Linked DNA regions of Callithrix jacchus. The protein of the gene in region 2 purifies or fractionates together with the protein of the main gene of each other region. This does not show direct contact. Links are inferred from orthologs where the notes say so. Each region holds a gene or a part of one and is shown on either strand. Other genes may lie near its edges.

Region 1 (3,473 bases), on a different chromosome or scaffold from region 2:
AAGATGAAGGCTCTCATTTGATGATGTGAATGGGATATTCCTTTATATATCCATTTAACCCACGTTTACTAAGAAGAGACCTCCAAATGTCAGATGATGGGAGTAGATGTGGCTAACCTAATCCCTGCCCTGCACTAGCTAGCAGTATACAGTAAAGGAAAAGGGCAGTCCTATCAGGTGGGCACAAAAGAAAAAGGGACTGAAGGGACCTGGTAGGTGATGTGCAGGGACTTTCAGAACCAAGGAAGCAGCATGTGCAAAAGCAGAGAAGAGCCTTTAAATTTCTCTCTTGGGAGCCTACCTGGTGCCACCAGCCGAGAAGGGCAGCCTAAGAGGTTTGGATGCAGGAAGCTTTGGTCCTGGGGAGGGGAAGTTGGGAAGTAGGGGTGCTGGGGCAAGCACGTTGAGAAACAGATTGGCCCCGCACTCCACCAAATGTTTGCTGCCCCCTTGTGGATTCACGGAGTGCTCTGGCTCCAGACCCTTTTTCCAATGGCCCGCTGACTGCCCCGCCTGCACGACCTCACCGGCACCTCAAATTCTGCGTGTGCAAACTGGTCTAAAACCCGGGAGACATCCTGGATCGGAATTCCCTACTTCTCCGTCCAAACAGTTGCCAACTCGAGACTGAACCTACCTACTAGTATCTCCCGACCTAATCTTTTTTTTCCATTCCTACTACTTTTTCTCTGGTTCGTTAGTTTAACAAATCATTTAACAAATATTTGAGCGCCGATCATACGCCAGACACCATACTAGGCTCCGTAGGCACCCCTGCCCTCTCAGCCCCCAGACTCCGCGGCCAGGTGTCGTCAGGGGCTGCGGCCTGATTTCCCCACCACTCCTCGGCTCTCTGCACAAGATCTGGTTCGACAAGCCGCTGGAAAACCCCCGTAATCCGCCAGCGCCCACAGGATGAGGCTGAAGCCCAGAAGTCGGTAATTAAGGCTCTCACCTCTGCAACAGCGGCCTGGGAACTAAACTCATCCTGGTCTGGCTTTCTGGCAGGTGTAGAGCTCTCAAGATGAGAGCTTTCAAGATGAGCTCCAAACTGAAGCTCCTGCTCGCACTCACTGTGAAACCCACTGCTCCCCTTTTGCTCAACAGGTAACGCCAGCCCTCCCCATCTTCTAAGAGCCAGATTCCTCTCCTTCAGACGCAGGACTTCTCTGACGGCTACTCCTTTCTACCGCAGGATATCTTCCTGCCTCCCTCCAGGGCGTTACAGTGGAGACTGCGCTAGTGTCCCAGCCCCACTGGGACTGCTCCGTAGCGGCCTTGCGGGTGGTTCCGTTTCCCGGCGGAGGCGCCTCGCGGCCGGACCCTCAGGCCCCGCCCCCTCGGGGCGTGCGCGGCCCCGCGGCCTTGGAGCTTCTGGGCTCGCGCGCCATCTTGGCTCCGGATCGGCAGTGAGGCGGCTTCGGTGAGAGCTAGAACCTGGCAGGCAGCGGGGCGCTCGGAAGTGGTGGGAGAGGGGACGCCTGCTGCTTGACCGCAGCGGCCGGCAGGACCCTGGAAACGACCAGGGCTGTCTTGGAATAGCCCGAGCAGCCTTCTGAGTCGAGCCTCTGCCCCTGAGTTTCTGAGTGACCTGGGTTGATATGGTTCGACCCTGGTAATCTCTGGGAGAGCGAAGTCAGTTCTGCTTGGGGGCAGCACTGGGTAAGGGTCCTTGGTTGTTTTCCGGGGGCCCTGGGGCGAAGTGCCTTGTCCCTGTCTTTGTAATCCCCCAAGTGACTAGCGCTCTCTATTGGTATTAGTCTGGGGTGAGGGTTCCAGGCCCTGTTCCAAGGAATCCAGGATAAGCGGGACTAGGCTCCAGTTCTGAAGAGTTTCGGATGAGGGGGCCTGGCGTTATCCCAAGAGCTCGGTGTTTGGGGAATTTGGTGTTGCCTCTGGGACTCCAGGATTGGAGGTGGGGGTGTTATGGCCCTTGTAGAGGACGGGGGTGTGGGGGCTACAGCCCCTTCCCAGAGTGAGGCAGGCATGGCCCTTGTCATGAGATGCTAAGGACCAGGGGATACGATCCTGTTTCTGGGAAGTCTGGAACGGGGAGCAGGGCCACATCCTGAAGGGAGGTAAGGGATGGTGGACAGTGACCTGGGCACATGGCCTAGCACTCATCTGATGCTTCCGTGCAGTGGGCAGCGAGAGTCACAAGACAGCAAACTGATGGAGCACTACCGGAAAGCTGGCTCTGTGGAACTCCCAGCACCGTCCCCAATGCCCCAGCTACCTCCTGATACCCTTGAGATGCGGGTCCGAGATGGCAGCAAAATTCGCAACCTGCTGGGGCTGGCGCTGGGTCGGTTGGAGGGCGGCAGTGCGCGGCATGTGGTGTTCTCAGGTTCCGGCAGGGCTGCAGGAAAAGCTGTCAGCTGTGCTGAGATTGTGAAGCGGCGGGTCCCAGGCCTACACCAGCTCACCAAGCTACGTTTTCTGCAGACCGAGGACAGCTGGGTCCCAACCTCACCTGACACAGGGCTAGACCCCCTCACAGTGCGCCGCCATGTGCCTGCAGTGTGGGTACTGCTCAGCAGGGACCCCTTGGACCCCAATGAGTGTGGCTACCAACCCCCAGGAGCACCCCCTGGCCTGGGTTCCATGCCCAGCTCCAGCTCTGGCCCTCGTACCCGAAGAAGGACTTGAGATACCCGATCCTGAAGACCTGCTCAGCCAGGCTGTTCTCCAGGCCTGAATGTCTGAGATGTGTGTCTTTTCTGAAAAACCCTGTGACTGCTAGACATCCCCATCAAGGCTCAGATCCACAGAGGTGGGCCCCCTTGTCCTGCTTCCCCTTCTCTCTGGTATGTGGGAAGGGACTGCTGTGAAGAGTGACAGGTGTGGAGCCTCTGCCAAGTTCTGCATTGCTAAAGAAGGGTTTACTCTGTCTTCTACCTACAGTGCATCTGAACTGCCTTCTGACAGAGGTCCAGGGAGGGATTTAGAAAATAAAGTTTCTACCTATTTGATGAGACTCTACTCAGCCTGCTATGTGGAGTGGGATTAAAGAAATGGGAGTCCCTGCCCTTAGCCCCCGGGAGCTGATTGGGTGAAGAAAGAGGAAGAGTAGGCTCAGGCTGATGCTGGGAGGATCTAGTGTAGATAAGAAGCCTCAGTCAGTACTGAATATAGTTAATTCCCTGGGTAGTTGTTTGTACCGTTTTTGGGCTGGTTTAAGAACACTGTCAGGTCAGACATTTCTCATCATCTGCAACATACAGTATAGTATAGTGGTTGTGAGCATGGACTCAGGCACCAGCCTGCCTGGGTTTCAGTCCTGGTCTGCCACTTAGCAAGTTACTACTCTGTGTGCCTTAGTGTTCTTATCCATAAAACAGGAATACAATACTGTTTATCGCATAGGGTTGTTACGAGGTTAGATAAAGAAATACGTGACATTTAGAAACCACCTTGGCGCATAATGCTATTAAATGTTAATTACTATTATGATTATTAATGACTTACCTATC
Region 2 (3,512 bases):
GCCAAGAAATAATTCTTTTTTTTTTGGAAACCTTTTTTTTTTGAGACGGAGTTTCGCTCTTGTTACCCGGGCTGGAGTGCAATGGCACGACCTCGGCTCACCGCAACCTCCGCCTCCTGGGTTCAGGCAATTCTCCTGCCTCAGCCTCCTGAGTAGCTGGGATTACAGGCACGCGCCACTATGCCCAGCTAATTCTTTGTATTTTTAGTAGAGACGGGGTTTCACCATGTTGACCAGGATGGTCTCGATCTGTTGACCTCGTGATCCACCCGCCTCAGCCTCCCAAAGTGCTGGGATGACAGGCTTGAGTCACTGCGCCCGGCTGAGTAATTCTTAACTAAATTTCTGTTCAAGTTCTTTTGATTCTGCCTCCTTTGTAGCTAATGAGTATCTCCCTCCTTCATAATCCCATTCCATTTCTAAGGACAGAGTTTGAGTCTCTTTTCATGACACTGTGGCCTTTCATAAGCTATTCTTCAGCCTGATTTCCTCCTAATTTTTTCATATTCCTCCTTCATACCAGCCTTATTGTCCCCTAAACTATCTTATCTAGGTTCTTCTTACCTTTCTGTCCATGCCTTTGCAAAGGAATACTTCTCCTTTTCTTATTCCATTTACCTTATTCCAAGTAGTGTCTCCTTTATATGAATACCTCGTTGCTTTACCCAGGCAGTTAATTCTTGTGACTGCCTCCATTCCTATTATATTTGCTCTTACTGTGCTTCTCACATGCATGTATTATAGGGAAAAGCACTGTCTGTTAGACATCTTAATACCCTGTGTATATGGACAGTTTGCCTAACCTATTAGTAGGTTTCTAGAAGTTAAATTTAAGTTGAATTCTGCTGCCAACCTAATCTAAGTATCTAATAATTCCCAGTTATTCTTTGTTCATTGTCACCAGTTAGATAAGAGATCAATAAATTTATGAGTTTGATTTTATTCATTAACTCAACTAGTATTTATTGAACACCTTTTGCATAACCAGGCCATTGTGGGGTGTTCACAATACAATGCAATTGATTCTTTCAGAGGTACCTTGATGTTCTAATAGAGAGATAGGGTACATGCTGTAAAACAAGACAAGCATGTGCTCCACGTGGGAGCCATACACTCGACTGCTGTGTCTCCTCTCTTGACTTGTCTGTCTACCATATATAAAGCATCTGCTACACCAATATCTATGACTTGGGTTCTGGTTACATAAGATGTCATGGACGGACCATTAGACATAACACTGTCCTGCAGTTTTATGCATGAGGTAATCTTTAGGAATAAATTATATGTTAATAATATACTGATGTTTATTTATGTTGGGGAAAAAAGATGATACTAAATGACACTAGCACCCGTAACAGTTCATTATGGCTTATCATTTACTACTACTGTAAGCCAAAGTCATATGTTAAACCACCTCTTTTTAAATGTCCTAACTTCAAGCACAATGGTTTTCCTGTTGGTTTTACAGACACTAGAAAAACTGCTTTTGGAATTATTTCTACAGTGAAGAAACCTCGGCTATTAGAAGGGGATGAAGATTGTCTTCCAGCTCCCAAGAAAGCCAAGTGTGAGGGCTGAAAAGAATGCCCCAGTCTCTGTCAGCAGTCCCTTCTTCCCTTTTATACTTCATCGGCCACAACAAAGAGAAAACCTTTGTGTGATTTACTGTTTTCATTTGGAGCTAGAAATCAATAGTCTCTAAGAACAGTTTTACTTCCAATCCATTAAAACAACAAACAAAACCTAGTGAAGCATTTTTTTCAAAAGACTGCCAGCTTAATGAATTTAGATGTACTTTAAGAGAGAAAGACTTTATTTATTTCTCCTTTATGTAAGTGATAACAGCAGATACACTTGAATAAGATGTTTCGGGTATTTTTGTTTTGTTTTGTTTTTGAGATAGGGTTTTGCTTTGTTGCTCAGAGTGGAGTACAGTGGCATAATCACAGCTCACTGGAACCTCAAGCCTGAGCTCAAGTGATCCTCCCTCTTCAGCCTCTCAAGTAGCTGGAACTACAGGTGCACACTACCACACCTGGCTTTTTTTCTTTTTCTCTGTAGAGACATGGTCTCACTATGCTCCCAAGGCTGGTCTCAATCTCCTAGGGTCAAGCCATTCTCCCACTTTGGCCTCCTAAAGTGTTGGGATTACATGGACCACCAGTGTAGCCAGATGTTTGAATATTTTAAGAGCTTCTCTCAAAAATTACTTGTTCATAGTCAAATGGTAGTTATTTTGAAGATATTCAAACTTATATTGAAGAAGTGACTTTTAGTTGATGTTTTAAGCTTCTCTCTCATGTATTCACCAAATCAACATTTTTTTTTCCTAAAAGGAATTGCTGTAGTTTGTAGAAGTAGAGAGGATACACATGTAAAATTACACTTGGACTCTTACTTCACTGCTTCATACCTCCATGAGGTCTTTGAAATAGGATTCCTTACTTTTAGTTAGAAACCCCTAAAAACCTAATATTGATTTTCCTAATAGCTGCATTAAAATAGCAAAGCATTGGACTCAATCAGCTTTGGAAATAATTTATTTTTATAACAGGATCGTGTTAAGTACAAGTAGCTTTATTTGCACATGTCTGCATTTATGTAATATTAATGTAAGGGCTCTAAAACACAGTGGAGTAGAACCAGAGGTATAACTGAATAAGAAACTTTTAAACAAGAGAAAGAAAACTGTTCTGCAAGTTGGACAAAATATAATTTTAAAAAGAGAAAACTTTATAACCTCACCAATGAATATAGATGTTTAGATAAAATATTGATTTAAAAACATTAAAACAGAGTACATCATTTATTCCTTTTTTTGTGAGATTGATTCTTTGTTGTTGTTGATGAAACAGGGTATCACTCTCTCACCTGGCCTGAAGTGTCAACAAGCCATTCTACCAGCTCAACCTCCCGAGTAACTGGGACCACAAGCATACACTACCACATCTCGGCTAATTTTTGTATTTTTTTGTAGAAATGGGGTTTTGCCATGTCCAAGTTGGTCTCAAACTCTTGTACTCAAGCAGTCTGTGCCTCAGCCTCCCAAAGTGCTGGGATTACAGGCACAGCCATGAACCACCATACTCAGCCTTCTAGTTCTTTTTAATGCAGTATCCTTTTGCATATTAATAGGTCAAAAGAGAAAAATCAGAATGTTCTTAATAGATGCCAAAAAGACATTTAATAAAGTTTAAAATCCACTCCTGATTTTTTTTTTTTTTTTTTTTTTTGAGACAGTCTCGCTCTGTTGCCAGGCGCCAGGGTGGAGTACAGTGGCACAATCTCGGCTCACTGCAACCTCCGCCTCCTGGGTTCAGGCAATTCTCCTGCCTCAGCCTCCCCTGTATCGGGGACTACAGGTGCATGCCACCACACCCAGCTAATTTGTGTATTTTTAGTAGAGACGGGGTTTTACCATGTTGGCCAGGATGGTCTCTGTCTCACTCCTGATTTTTAAAATGACAACAATAAAAACCCTTGGCAAAATTTAAGTAGAAGAATATTGTATG

Evidence for each region. Proteins that work in one complex are often made in the same cells at the same time.
Region 1: the proteins of RPP30 (region 2) and RPP25L purify together in Homo sapiens (co-immunoprecipitation; 3 studies listed by BioGRID and IntAct, counting the BioPlex papers as one, with this or other methods). This does not show direct contact. The link is inferred for Callithrix jacchus from reciprocal best matches to the Homo sapiens genes RPP30 and RPP25L.

What each region holds. Positions count from the first base shown.
Region 1 is NC_133502.1:141,477,098-141,480,570, reverse strand, and holds RPP25L (ribonuclease P protein subunit p25-like protein), read left to right. Parts: upstream 1-1,376; 5' UTR 1,377-1,423; exon of another isoform or gene 1,424-1,662; intron 1,663-2,141; 5' UTR 2,142-2,172; coding exon 2,173-2,649; 3' UTR 2,650-2,972; downstream 2,973-3,473. UniProt on the Homo sapiens protein: May be a component of ribonuclease P or MRP.
Region 2 is NC_133513.1:83,675,093-83,678,604, forward strand, and holds part of RPP30 (ribonuclease P protein subunit p30), read left to right. Parts: intron 1-1,468; coding exon 1,469-1,578; 3' UTR 1,579-3,512. UniProt on the Homo sapiens protein: Component of ribonuclease P, a ribonucleoprotein complex that generates mature tRNA molecules by cleaving their 5'-ends. Also a component of the MRP ribonuclease complex, which cleaves pre-rRNA sequences.